Caenorhabditis elegans: one gene and its partner. The protein of the gene in region 2 interacts with the protein of the main gene of each other region in a pairwise test. Each region holds a gene or a part of one and is shown on either strand. Other genes may lie near its edges.

Evidence for each region. Proteins that work in one complex are often made in the same cells at the same time.
Region 1: the proteins of hlh-19 (region 2) and hlh-2 interact in a two-hybrid assay, tested with the Caenorhabditis elegans proteins (one study listed by BioGRID).

What each region holds. Positions count from the first base shown.
Region 1 is NC_003279.8:7,188,563-7,195,819, forward strand, and holds hlh-2 (Helix-loop-helix protein hlh-2), read right to left. Parts: upstream 5,359-7,257; 5' UTR 5,346-5,358; coding exon 5,201-5,345; intron 4,851-5,200; coding exon 4,363-4,850; intron 3,524-4,362; coding exon 3,222-3,523; intron 3,110-3,221; coding exon 2,968-3,109; intron 2,801-2,967; coding exon 2,678-2,800; 3' UTR 2,226-2,677; downstream 1-2,225. Other genes in the region: plag-15 (PhosphoLipase A2 Group), read left to right, coding at 1-91, 380-539, 591-808, 1,018-1,160, 1,209-1,357, 1,460-1,928. UniProt on the Caenorhabditis elegans protein: Transcription factor which binds the E box motif 5'-CA[TC][AG]TG-3'. Plays a key role in the anchor cell/ventral uterine precursor cell (AC/VU) decision; required for VU fate.
Region 2 is NC_003284.9:553,293-560,511, reverse strand, and holds hlh-19 (BHLH domain-containing protein), read left to right. Parts: upstream 1-3,216; 5' UTR 3,217-3,392; coding exon 3,393-3,439; intron 3,440-4,243; coding exon 4,244-4,419; intron 4,420-4,490; coding exon 4,491-4,603; 3' UTR 4,604-4,720; downstream 4,721-7,219. Other genes in the region: Zinc metalloproteinase nas-38, read right to left, coding at 11-178, 392-522, 571-679, 740-841, 891-1,020, 1,409-1,506, 1,553-1,669, 2,043-2,121 and 1 more; F57C12.6 (Cerebellar degeneration-related protein 2-like), read left to right, coding at 6,537-6,673, 6,718-7,017, 7,064-7,172.

The sequences.
Region 1 (7,257 bases), on a different chromosome or scaffold from region 2:
TGTATTTTCTTGGTTTTAATTGGAAAAAGTGACACGAAATGGTTTGGAAAGTTTGGCAGATCACAAGCGAAAGGACTTCCGGTGATTCTCGGTGAGCTTTTGTTTTATTTGATTTCTTAACTTTAAATCTTTCAAGTCGTTCGGTCGGTCTACTGTAATTATATTTCTTTATTTTAAATTTTAAATTTTATATTTTTGAATTACATCCACAATTGTTCAAGTTCTCAGTTCTGATGTTTTATTTGATCAGAATTGAAAAGATATCTAGTACTTTCTAATACGAGTTCTAAAAAGTTTCATACATTCCAAATTAGTTTTAGTCCGTTTTTAGCAAATTGGAATTTAAAAAATCGCAATAAATATATTGTATAGTTTTCAGTGCCTGGTGATGGAGGCAGCCAGCTGGAATCAAATCTAACGGGTAAACCATCAGTTGTGCATTATGTTTGCTCCAAGCAGACAGCCGATTATTTTGATCTTTGGCTTAATCTACAACTTTTCACACCTTTGGTTATTGATTGTTGGGCTGATAACATGCAGTAAGTTTCATTATTTCCAGAGCAAAGAAAATCAATTTAATAACATTTCAGATTAGTGTTCAACACAACCACAGGATTGTCTGAAAACATGCCAGGAGTTGACATTAGAGTTGCTGGATTTGGAGCAACTGAAAGTGTTGAATGGTTGGATAAGAGTAAAGCATCACAGGGAAGATACTTCTTTGATATCGTTGATTCGATGGTTTCATGGGGTTATCGAAGAGGAAAAAATGTCATTGGAGCACCTTTTGATTGGAGAAAATCCCCAAGTGAGTTGAGCCTTCAGAATTAAGAGAATACATAGGTTCATTTGTTTCTCATAGAAATTGACATTTTCTGGTTTATACCCGCGCTAAAAGTCCGCGTACCGTTTGCGCCAACTTTCCAATTGCGAACTTGCTCACAAAGATCAGCAAAACCGTTTTTTTGCACTCCGAATTACCAAACCAACTTTGTATTTAATTCTAAACAATTTCAGATGAATTAAACGATTATCTCATTCAACTGAAGTCCTTAATTGAAACCACATATCGCTGGAATGACAATCAAAAGATCGTACTCGTCGGTCACAGTATGGGTAATCCCCTTTCTTTGTATTTCTTGAATAATTATGTGGATCAGGTGAGATAATTGAAAGGTGTTAGATGAAATAACACTTATTGTTTCCAGGCTTGGAAAGACAAATACATATCGAGTTTTGTTAGTTTGGCGGCTCCATGGGCTGGATCAATGCAAATTGTTCGATTATTTGCATCTGGATATAATATGAATTATTATAGAGTTATTCTACCACCGAGTAGCTTGAGAGCAATGCAAAGGTAAGCACTTTGAGGTGTTTGGAAACTTAAAAGTGAAATATTTACTCTTATGGTGCTAAGACTACCAAATTATGTTTTTCTTCAACTTATTTGGTTCTTCAGATCATTCTCCTCTTCGGCCTTTCTGTTTCCAAGTCCAGTTGCATGGAAACCACATGAAATATTAGCGACAACTGCTGACAAAAACTACACTGTTGGAAATATTAAAGAATTCTTTCAAGACATTAATTACATGGTTGGATGGGAACAATACAAACAGGCCGCCCGTCTGAATGGAAATTTAAGTTCTCCAGGAGTTCCAGTTCATTGTATTTATGGAACAGGAGTCCCCACACCGGAAAAGTTTTCATGGGCTCCCGGATACTTTCCAGATTATCCACCAACTGAATTCATGGGTGATGGAGACGGGACAGTGAACAAAAAATCAGCTACAGTGTGCACTAATTGGATTGGAAATAATAATGGTTATAAGGTTACTGTACACGAAGTATTTCAAGCTGATCACATGGCAATTCTTAAACATCCAAATGCAATTGAACTTGTCCGAAAAGCCATTTTCCAGTTAATTTGAGTGATGCAAAAAGGGTTCTGAATTTTAAAATTTTGTTTGTTTTGATCAAGGTGAATGAATTATGTTTGTATCACATTTTTTCCCGTTGTTGACATTTTATACATCCAATATTCCTATACATCAGTTTTGACAGACCATGAAAAAAACATCTCGTTTCAACGACTTAGAAAGTCAAACTAAATGTCTAATTATAAATGGGAATCCCTTTCAACATAAAGTGGAATCCATACTGCGAAGGACATTAGCACTTCATCGGAGCTTGGATAATTAAAGTGTTGAAACAGTTACCCAATAGAGTAATTCATGTGTGAAATTAGTTGGCGGTGTCTTTTTTTTTGAGTGGACCATTTCATTTCAAGTAGATACTAATTAGCTATGGTTTATCACATACACACACACAAAAAATAAGACAAGTTGGAAGAAGTTGATTGAATGAATGAATAATATGAAAGTTAATTTTAATACTTGAAATATTAGAATTAGCTATTGATTGATTTAAATTTAGAGGAGAAAATAAATTAAAAACATACAGAAAATTGTGATGATCTTGTAATAAAGTTTAAAATTTTTAAAACTGAAAACTGATTGAAGTTGAGAAATCACAGGACCTCCAATCCGGAGGGAGATGAAGGGGAACATTTGAATAGTTTGAACAAAAAAACAATATGCTAGAGAGTTTTAGCCGTATGGATGATTGGGAGAAGATTGGGAATGATAGTTTGAAATGCTTAAAAAGTCAATTTTTAAATTTAAAACCGTGGATGTCCAAACTGCGCGGATGGTGCATTGTCATCAAGCATCTTCATTTTATCATCATCAGGTTTCCTTTTCATTCCAGCCATCACTTTTGGATTCATATTTCGTTGACGAACCTGTAAAATTATAAATTTCAACTTGTTCAGTGTTTTGTTTAAATTTTTCGAATAAATTCCATCGCAATGTTATGTGCTTCAAAGTCAAAAATACAGCAGTCGAACAATTGCCAATTAATTTTGTTCACAATTTGAATGTTTCTTTAAAATATGAAAAATTATCTAACCTGTTCTTCCAATTGTGTAATCACAGATACTGCATTGTGTAGAATTCCCAATTTTGTTTGATTCCGTTCTGTATTCTGATTGTGCTGTGTGCACATTCGTCCGAGCTCTTTGAATGCCGAATTGATGTCACGAACTCGTACTCTGTAAGTTTTTTGTATTAGATTAGATTTGGAGATATCTCGATTAAATTACTATGTAATTGTCAATTTCCAATGTTCAATTCAAAACGTCTTAAAAGTAAAAAACTCCTCACCTTTCTCGAGCATTATTCTGTGATCTCCTATCCGTATCTTTGTCATCACTCATTGATTCATTATCAGAAAGCCTTGAAGACGATGAATGGCGAGTTGGAATTCCAGAAGATGGAGGGCCTTGTACCCGACGACGGCTCGTTGCTCTTGATGCAGACTTATCATTTCGAACAGATGATGCACTTGATCCTGGTGGCATTCCGGTCATTCCTGGATATCCATTTGGATCAAAGTGTGGGCTCATACCGGCTGGTGGGAATTGATGATTGTAGTCAACCAAGTTGGTATCTCCACCAAGACCATTCTGCAATATTTCATTGTTTTTGGTTTTATAATTTCTATAACCCTCATCTAAAACTACTCAACTTTTTCTCTCAATGAAACAAAACAAAGAATTAATTTCATTTGCCTTGCTAGTCAGTTAATTCTCTCAAATGGTACTATTGGGGGCCGAGTCAAATCAATCGATCTCTTTAATGTACTGAACCCCGCAATGTGACCGTCTCTGTTCACCACTTAATCATGCGGCGACGTCGGTCAATAGCCCCCTTCGGTTTTCGAGGACACCATCAGAAAATGTGACCGGCTATTGGGTAACAATGCAAAAAGCAAGAGCTTCAAATTTTGGCCAATTTAGTTATTCACTAGTCAGAGGTTGGATACAGGGATTTTACCATATTATTCTAGATTTCTCAAGACTGGAACGCAAAAAAATGTCATCAGGGTCTCAAAACTTTGTTCACGACAACAGTAGTTCAGAATCTTAATGTTTAGTATTGTCATATGGCAAAAATTATTTTAAAGAAAACTGAAAGAATCTCAAAAATTTCCTCCAACAAAAAAAGCGATAAACTTTGCCTAATTATGTAACTAATCCATCTTTTCTGTATGTTTCTCCTTGTTTTATGTTTACATTAGTGACTTTTTTGGAGGTCGTTTAGTGCGCACAGGGTGTTCTTCTCAAGAAGATGCCGCCTTTTGCATGCATCTCAATCTTCAGAAGGCGGCGGCTCACATCAAAAGGAAGCGGATTATGCATACGTGAATGCTTGGCGGCTGAGGAGGGCCAAGCAATCATTCGTCGAGATTAACTTGTGGTAAAACAGTAAAACACGAATAAAACCAAGAAGAATAGAAACGTACCGGCTGTCCAGCAAGTTGCTGCTGATACGATGAGAAGTCGGCAACTGATGGATCAGCACCAAATGTATATGTTGGAGGGATTGAGATGTATGGATTAACAGCTTCACTTGCTTTGTTATCTTCTGAAGGTGGAAGGTAACCTGGATATGTTTGTGGCCATGTATACATTGATGACATTGCGTCAATTGGTGCGGTAAGATTAGTAAGAGGCTGTGGAGCAACAATCGCTGATGTTTCTGCAGAATTCGTGGCTGGAGCTGTTGTTGGCTTTAACTCAAGCACATCAGTAGTTGAAGTTGGAGCTGGAGCAGTAGATGGAGCCGTCGTTGAAGTGGATGATGTTGCATGAATTGGCTTAATATCAGATGTTGCAGAAGTTGGAGCAGCTACGGAAGCAGGGGTTTCAGTTGGTGGATGTGTTGGAAGGAAGGCTGATGAATAATCAATATCCGTTGTTTGCATCGGAGGATACGGGTTGAGATGGTATCCTGAAAATGTTTATTTAGATGACTTGCACTTGAGAAATGAGATATAAACATTTTGGTTAATAAACTACTTACTAGAGCAAACCAGATTTTTACAAAATTTTAGAACATTAAAAGAGTTATACATTTTGTTTCAACTTAAAGTAAATTTTAAAAATTTGCGAGCTTATAAAATCAACAATTCAACAATTCGAGATAAGTAATACCAAACTTATATCCTTTTTCTGCAATTTATCCAATATTTCTAACTGATTACAAGCGACTTTTAACAAATTCACGAAAACATGTTTGGTTTGGTTTACCAAATGATATAATTGAAATTATAATAGATTTCAAATGAAAAAAAGACTAACCACTCCAATAATCAGGCATCTGAATCGTTGTCGGATCAATATTATAAGGATAATCATATGCATTTGGAAGCATAACCTGTGGTTGAGCAATGGCGGCAGTTGCAACAGTTGTGGCTGACGTAAGTTGGCTATTTGGATCCGCCATTGAGGTTCTGAAAACTTTATTTCTGCGAAATGATATGAAAGACGATTATAGTAGTAATGTCAAAGAAATAAAGTCAGCGGAGAAGCGGGGAGAGGAAAGGGAATAAGTAGGGAATTGGGCTGGAGCAGCAGGTGAAAAAATTAGGTTAGTAAATATATTCTGATTAGATTTTCGTCAAGACAACCCCATTTGAAGAAATATTGAGAATAAGAAAAAGAAGAAAATAATCGATTCTCCTCGTTTGGTTAAATAGGCAAACGAGATCAAAAGAGGCAAGGTAGATCAATAAAGAATAATAATTGTGACGTCACAATAGATCTACTAAGTTCCGGTATAAATTATTAGGAGCAAGTTACTTGAAGGAGAACAATTTGTAGGGAGGTAATGATGTTGAGATGGTATCAAGAAATAGTTGTAAATGTAGATGTCATTGTAGATGATTATCGGATGGATGACATCCCGAAAGAGCAATAAAATAACAGTAAAGGGGTGATGGATCAAAGGGTTTCAGGCCCATCTAAATAATTAGTTTAAATTCAGACGTAGGATAAGATATATATGAAAGCTTTAAACGTGAGCTAGTAACATTTCGGATGCAAATATACATTTTTTGATAAACTCAATAATTGAAAAAAAAACTGCCCTACAATACATTTGCGTTCTTGTTTAAATTCAAAATTGGTAAGGATTCGTAAACATTGTAGGAGTGAGAAAAAGTAATGCAGATCAAAATTATTTGGTAAAAGATCCAAAATTGAAAATTGGGAGGAGAGAAATTTTAATTTTCAAAATCAGAAGATGGGATACATTATGTATTTCATTCAAAATATGTGCTATGTTTTATTACAGTAAGATCATGAACTTGAAAAGCTAGTAAACGGAACAGATTTAGACACAAAAAAAGACGAAAAGAGTGCACTCCCCCCTTCTTAGCGGCTATGCGGGTGGCTAGGAATGGTTCTTCGAGGGTGGTGGTAGTGGAGGGACGCGTATAAAAGCCCATTCAAGGGACATAAACAGTATATTGGTGTACATAGACGCAGACATTCTTTCTCCCGGGGACCGTCTACATCCAAGAGACGCAGAGACGATGATCGGGAGAGGTCACGCCCACAACCATCTCTCTCTACCTCCTGCAGCACACAATCCTCTATTATCCCGGGGTCCTCCATCTCTTCTCCCACCATTCATTCACCAGTCTTTTTTGGGTGAAATGAGAGGAAAATGGGGGAAGGATTGAATGAATAAGGGGATTGAATGAATAGAAGAGGTCAGCTCTCTTGGGGGAAAATGTCGCCACCCGACTGTAGGGAGTACATTCATTTTTGAAGCATGTTATTAGAGTTTTGTAGGGATCTCTGAAATTTTAATTCTTCAGAATATGGTAAGAGTGAGAGAAAGAGTGTGCACAGGAAAGGGGTATATTTTATTAGAATAAAGTTACTCATATTCACAACAGAAGTTTCAGCAATCACAATACTGTGGGACTACTCGAGTCTTCAAATATCTTGAGCCATATCCTAAAATTGTCTCTCTGTGGTAATAAACCAACAATTATAAAAAGAAATGATACTTCCAATGCCCGTCTCTAAAGTGCATTTTTTGACAGATGTTGTCAAAAGTATACGGTACTGGAACTTTTTTCTCGAGAGTATTTGGGGAGGTGTCTATTGTGGGACGGAGTGCAGCTGTCATCAAATTCAAGTGCTCAATGGTTTGGTTAGAAAAAGTTAGAAATACGGTAATAATGACGAATTTGTTCTACAAATATGATTAACTAAATGGTGATACTTATTTGAGAATGTTGAAAAAGGGATGCAAGTAAAGATAGGTCTCAATCAGATTTCAATCATTTTAGAAGATTTATCTGATCATTGACAGATCAAATAGGGTATTTTATCTAGATAAGGCA
Region 2 (7,219 bases):
TGTTACTTACAAAAATAACCCCACCACATTGAGCGTTTGACGGGTACACTTGTTCACAATATCTTCCTGATAAACCTTCGGGACATGCGCACATGGAGCAGTTATTGGGGTGGGTGTATCCGTTACGAAGGCATGGAAGGTCTGCGCACGACTCTGTGCATCCATATGCCATGTTAATCTAGAAAGTTTAAAATTTCGGAGCTTTTTTCCATTATTTATAGTGGCTTAAACCAATACACTGCAATTTTTGCAGAACATATCGAAATTTGTTCAACACGGAAAATTTGCGGATTAGGCCGAGTTTGAGTTATTTTCGGCAAATTTTAAATTCTTTCGCACACATAATTTGCGAGCTATATCATTTTCAATCATTAAAAGCTGCTTAACATACTGCTTGGTAATCTAAAAACGATGGGCCAGCTCTTTGACCAATTGTCGACTGCTGAACTCTTTCAAGTGTCCGAATAGTTGGAGTATATGGATCAGACGCAAACCCGTACGGACCATAATGCATGACGCTTCCTGCAAACCGAACAGGCGTGAATGAGAAAATGTATCATTAGTACTAACCGGTGTCATATGGTAGGTTATAAGTTTCCGCGTGATTTTCTCCAACAGCTTGGAAATTATTCCATCTGGAGAGTGGAATATTGTTGTAGTTGATAGCGATATGTCGTTCCTGTAAAATTCGACAACTTCTAATATTAAATTAAAAAGTATTTAGATTCAGTTAACCAACCTGGTCCGGTCGAGCTTGTTCGTGGAAAATACCTAATGCGTGTCCTATTTCGTGACTTATAATCCCAACAACATCACATCCTGGAGTTGAAATAGAAATTCCCTTGAAACTTTTTTTTTTGTTGAAACTTGATTAATATTCAAATTAATACCTGTGTTCCACCAACTCTTCCAACAAAGGAAGAACATCCTCCTCCATCGAAAAACTCTAGTCTATCCACATTTGGACCTCCTTCTTCAAATCGGAGGCATGTATGTTGCTGCCATAGGAGCATTGCACTTCTGAATTTAGAGATTCTTTCACTTAAAGGTGGAGCAGCACCAGTGTGGAAAGTGTCAAAACCTATTCCATCAAATCTACATTTTTCATACTTAAATTTTGTTTTAACTATTCGTATTGAAACATTGTAGGGGTCGGAACATGCGACATTGCTTTGGATTTCCTCAAAGTTGCATACTTTTCAATTTGGCAATTTGCCAAAACTTCGACCGGAAATTATGAAAAATTAAAAAAAATTTAGAGTGTTTTATCATGATATTAGATCGTTTCGGATCATTATAAAAGTATTTAGACAAAATCCCCATTGGCGCTACTCCACCTTTACAAAAATACAACAATTGTAATTTTTGAAACTTCAATTAACAAATAAGTTCTAAGTCTTTCACACACCTGATTTTTTGTCTTGTTTGGAACGGTATACTTTCGGCATAATCAAAACTAATAGGCCCTCTTGTATCCCACTTTTTATACAATGGATTTCTTCCAATCTAAAAATTATTGGGTGACACGCTGTTCAAAAATCCATATTTTCACCTTTCTTTTTTCTCTTTTGCCCTGTGTAAACTGATCTTCAATAATTTTCACTTGTTGTTCAGACAAGTCAACATCTCCTTGGAAATACTCGTCAGCGTTATTCACTGCCAATTCATCCTGTAGATAAAAGCATGAAGAAAAACTGGTCTTGATATGTGTCAAGGTGGTGTAGCTTGCATTATGGGAATGTTTTTTTTTAATAAAAATGTATTAAAAATGTAATGTGTATTGATTTTTTTAAAATATTAAAGAAATCGCACTCAAAACATTGAAAATACTACGAAAACACAATAAGTTGAAACATCCATATCTATGATTCCATATCTATGATTGACTGAAATTAGCTTTCAATATACTTCTAGTTAATTAAACTCTCAATGGATAATTCGATCAAAAAACGAGGTTTTATTGCAATTTCAAGCTTGAAATGTCTATTCAAAAGCCGGTTCATAAACTTTTAAATTATTTAGTTTTGAGTAAAAAGACCAACGTGATGTACTCCTGTATTTGGATTTCGTTGTATATCATCAAAGACAGTAACTGAATCGCTTTGAATTAATGTATTGTGTCTAAAAATCACTTTTTTTCTAGAAATCTTTCACACTTGGCTGAAATGTCACCTACCTTTCAGCTTCATCATTCAGCAGCTGCTTCACCCTGGCAAGATGTTTTTTCGAAGCTTTCGGAACTCGCGCAGCTGATGAAAAAATAAGAAGACAACAAAAACATGAGGCAATAATAATGTGACGATTGTAAGAAGGACTAGGCATTGGGTAGAGAAAGGCGCAGATTTGCCTTCTGCCGCCGATCGTCCACTGTAGTTGTGTGATTGGCTTTTCGTTTTCACTCCTCTGTCTCCGAATCTTTTCTCACCCCTTCAAGCTTCTTCTTTTTCTTCTTTTTCTTCGCTTAACGTGACTCATCTTAGACACATCTTCCGTCGGTTCAGCTGTAAAACTCGCGGGTTTTTCGTTAGTGACTTGGCATACAGGTTTGCTTCAAGGTTTTTCTCGGTTTCACCTTGCAGTAACTAGCTAACTATTGTTCCAACAATGGTGATTCAGATGTTAGGGTCAGGTTCCTTTATGTTTTATTGAACGTAACTGTGGCTATGACGTGATCAATAAAATTAGGTCAATAATAAGAATAAGAAATTAATAATAAAAAGAACGCAAATTTTTTCAAAAGTTACGTATGCACCCAGTATAAAAAAACCCATAAAAGTGTACCTGCAAAAAAATGATTTCCAATATGCTTTCCATTCGTTTTTTTCAATGACAAATTAATAAAACGTGAAATTTATTTGCACATTTAGGTTTACTATTAGGAAAAAGTAAATTCTGAGCCTGATAGGGACAAAAAAAGTTATGAAAACTTTTCAAAATGGTTAACATTTTTGAACAGGTATACTTCACAAATACCATAACTAGAGATATCAGGAACAATTTTCAATTTTCTGAAACACCCCAATCGTTTTTTTTTAACTTTCCGCGACAATTTTTTCTTAAAATTGACCAAACCCTAAAATAAAGTTTTGCAGATTTAGCAAACCACTTCACACTTTTTCTTCCAGTAGGCAGTCAGGCACGAGGCAGGCACGATGTTCCCAATCAGGCTACTTCGGAACAGTTCTATTTCTCTGCACATTTCAGATACACTTACTTACCCCCTTGTGTCCGAGTCCTCATCAAAAACAGCTGTCTCCATTATGACGACCCACTTGAGAGCAATACATATGTACCCCTTACATTTGAATGCTTACCATTTGTCTGAACATAAGATAACAAAATACTTAGCTTTCTTCAGTATTACGTAATTGGTGATATTTTATAAATTCAAAATGTCACGTGAACGTGCTAACGCTCGAGAACGATGCCGGCAAAAATCGTAAGTGCTCCAAACTTTTCAATATTATATTTGGGCTTTCTTTTTGCAAATTTTGTTTGTTTATTATAAGTTAAGTTTGAATATAAATTCAACTGTAAGTTTTATTTTCATAATTAACTATGAAACGTTCTAGATTTTATGAAACAACAATACTCTTTTCTGCATGCGTAAAAAAATCATTCTAAAATTAATCCGTTTATAATATTTTAAACTTGACTCCATTACGTTCCTCAGATAATTTTCAAGTTGTAGTTCAAAAATTGGAAAATATTTCCTCTGTTAGTCTTGCAGCCTCTATTAGTCTTTCACCCCTACGGGCTAATCGAAAATTAGTCTTGCAGCCTCTATTAGTATTGCAGTCTCTAATAGTTTTGCACCCGACTTTTTTCCTGTCCAGCAATATCTTGCATAGAGGCTGCAGCGTTAATGAATTGGCCCATTTTTTGGAAAAATTGAACTCGAGTTTTTGATCAAAAGCGTTCAAATAATTGATGAAATATTGGAAAAGGATGTATTTTTTGTTATTTAAACGATATCAAGTTGAGTTTTTCATGGTCACATTTCGGAGTTTTGAAGCATTCGAAAATCAGTCTTGGAGCCTCTAATAGTCTTGCACTCTCTATTAGTCTTGCATGCCTACGGAACAATTGAAAATTAGTCTTGCATGCAAGACTAATAGAGGAAATACGGTAATTAAATTGATCCTTTTCAAACTTTTCGGAACCTGCAAAATTTTTAGCTTATTTGTATTTTATTTATGTAGCGAACAAATTTAAAACAGAATATTATCTTTGTAAAATTTAGAATCGGCAACGCATTCAACATGTTGCGCAACCATCTTCCGAAGCAATTACGAGATCGAAAACCGTCGAAAGCGGAGACCTTAAAGTCAGCTGCGCAATATATATCTCATCTATTGAGGATTTTGGAGAAAGAAATAGAAAACTCTTCGAATAATTTAAAAGATGAACATCAAAAAGGTGATTTAGAAATATTATCAGAAAAAGTGTTTCTATCAATTGATCTTAAAATTTAATAACTTTTTTTTCAGACCCTAGTTTGACCACGCCTTCACATCTGAATTCGAAAATTGAAGTATGCTATGCACACCAAAATGGAGAATGGGTCCCGCCAGAATGTCATTTTGTTGTGAACTATGATTGAATATTTATTTTTATTAATTGTGTATTGTTTTACCCACTCATTTTTATGCAATTTTTACACTAATCAAACTTTATCAAAAAAACCAATTTTCTATTAATAAATGTGAATGAATAGGTATTGCCATTCTCCCCGCTCATAACTCAAACACTAAAAATGTTTCAAAAAATGTTCACCTATCAAACAATCGCACATAATCATGCTTATTAGTTTCACATGTTTGAACTATCTACAGAACCAATAAAGCAGCCGACACCTCGTGAGAACCTATTTTATGTTAAAATCAAAACGACTGTAACTCCACAATTTTGGTTTGTAACATTGTTCTATCTTAATCTGAAAACAATGCAAAAGAGCGACGAAGCTTTTTCTCAAAGAGCATTAAAAGTTTTCCTTTTAACAAAAAATATAACGGTTTGTCAATAAAACATTCATTTTGATCAGTTTATTTGCATCATTCAACATTCTTTTGCCTTTTTATCAATTTCTACGTTTTTGCCATTTTTAAATGAGCAACAGGAAAACTTCAAACCCGCCAATCATCAGAGGTTTTTCTCAAATCTCTTGTCGCCTATTTCGAGAAGGATTTCCAGTTTTTTTTAATACAGCAAACCATTGTTATCAGTTTGATTGATTTGATTTATTTTCAACATTAAGAGCCAAAAGGTAATACATTATCAGTTGCTGCACGCAAGCAAGCATGCCGCAACTTTCTCTTCCTTTTTGATAACATTGATTTTTTAAAATAATTTTTAGAATGAGCTATACAAACCCTCCAATTCTCCCAACTTTCCGCGGGTTTTCTCAAGACTCTCGACGTCCTTTTCGCGGAGGGTCTCGTGGAAGAGGAGCAGGATTCAGAGGAGTGTATCACCCTTCAGTTATCCCGCAGGTTCCTTTGTTACAAGCCACTTTGGCTAATCAGGATGACACACAAAATGTTTTGATACAGTAAGTGTTTGAATGTGGCCAGATTTCCCACACTTACGATTTTTAGAACGAACTACCCGAATCAGCCAAATCCGTCGAAATAGGGTCACCTCAAAGCTTTCGTCGCCCATTTCGAGGAGGGTTTTCTGGACGAGGAGCGGGGTTGAGAGGTGGTTATATCCCAACTGCTGTTCAGCAGTTTCATCCAGAAATCGTTCTACAAAACCAGGATAATCAGCAAGAGGCATTGATTCAGTAAGTTTTATCACTGATTGTTTTATACTCACGTTCTTAAAAAAGGAGTATCCTAAATGGGGAAATTGTCTTAAAATGTAATAATCGTGCTCAAACTTACGAAAATAACAAAAGAATAACGGGAAAAATTAATTTCAAATTTGCGCGTGAATGAATCTTAGGCCACCACGCGATTCCTAGAAAAAATTCGTTCAACAAAACATTGATATCAATTTCATTTTTCCAACTTTAATTAGTTTTTCTCTCTCAAAAAGTTTAAGAAAACTGAGAAGAAGGAATTTTATAAAATACTTATTCAAAATACAATACAGAACAGGTTAAATATTTGAAAATCCTCATGGCCTAGGATTTCTTTAGTTAAATTTTAAAGATTTTTTGCCGATTTTTCTGTCTCAAAATGCTCAATGTTAACGGATTTTTCCCGTTTTCTTTTGTTATATTCATAAGTTTGAGCACAAATGTTACATTTTAAAACAATTCCCCCATTCAGAATACTCCTTCTTTAATGCTTGGTCAGTCAACGTTTGGTAACTTTGATGGTACTCAAAAACCATTGTAGTTTCCGAAACACGGTTTTTGAATAAGATTTCAATTGATCTGTTCATAGTTGCAAGTTGAGTTTAGGACTGTTTTTTTTGGCAGCCTCGCCAGCCCCACTGCAGTCATTTTTTTCAGAAAACTCAACGAGGCTAATTCTCTAAATGAGAAGCATAAACTGGCAATCACCCAGTTACATAGAAAAATTGCACAGATGAAACTGGAAAAACAACAGTTGGAATCTCAGGTGCCAGCGAACAACCCACCGGACACCTCAAATGCAGTTTTGGGCCAGGATGGCGGTGTTGGACTTAGTCTGTCTGAAATTAATACGATGCTAGAAAATGTGAGGTAAGTTCTTTGATGTTTTGGACTTTTCACATGATATTGAACAGAGTCAGATTAACCGAAGAAGTCAATGAACATATCGTGGCGATTTCAAATCTATCCCACGAGAATGAACAATTGAGACACGAAAATTCAACTCTCAAAATGCTATACGACGAGAACATCATAGAGGTTGACACATTGGCAATGATAAGTGCTGCCTTATCATTAACTGATCATAACACCAACCAACAACCGACAGAAGAAATAGCATTGGAAAGTGAGCTGCAAGATACCGACTGTGTCATTTGTCATGAAGAAATGCGTCTTAAAAATGCAATACATGTCGCAGAAGGTTTCATAAAAGTGTAAGTTTGAAGATGTTTTGATAGCTTTGATTATTCTACTTTTCAGTGTGTCGACAGATGGGTTAGCCAAAAGTTCACATGCCCAACATGTCGCTCCACAATGCATACCTAAATCCCGTACTTTTTCTACGTACTGTTTAAAAAAGAAATGTTAATCAATAAATTCTAATACATGCACGTGGTGTCATGCTGTCCCATAGCT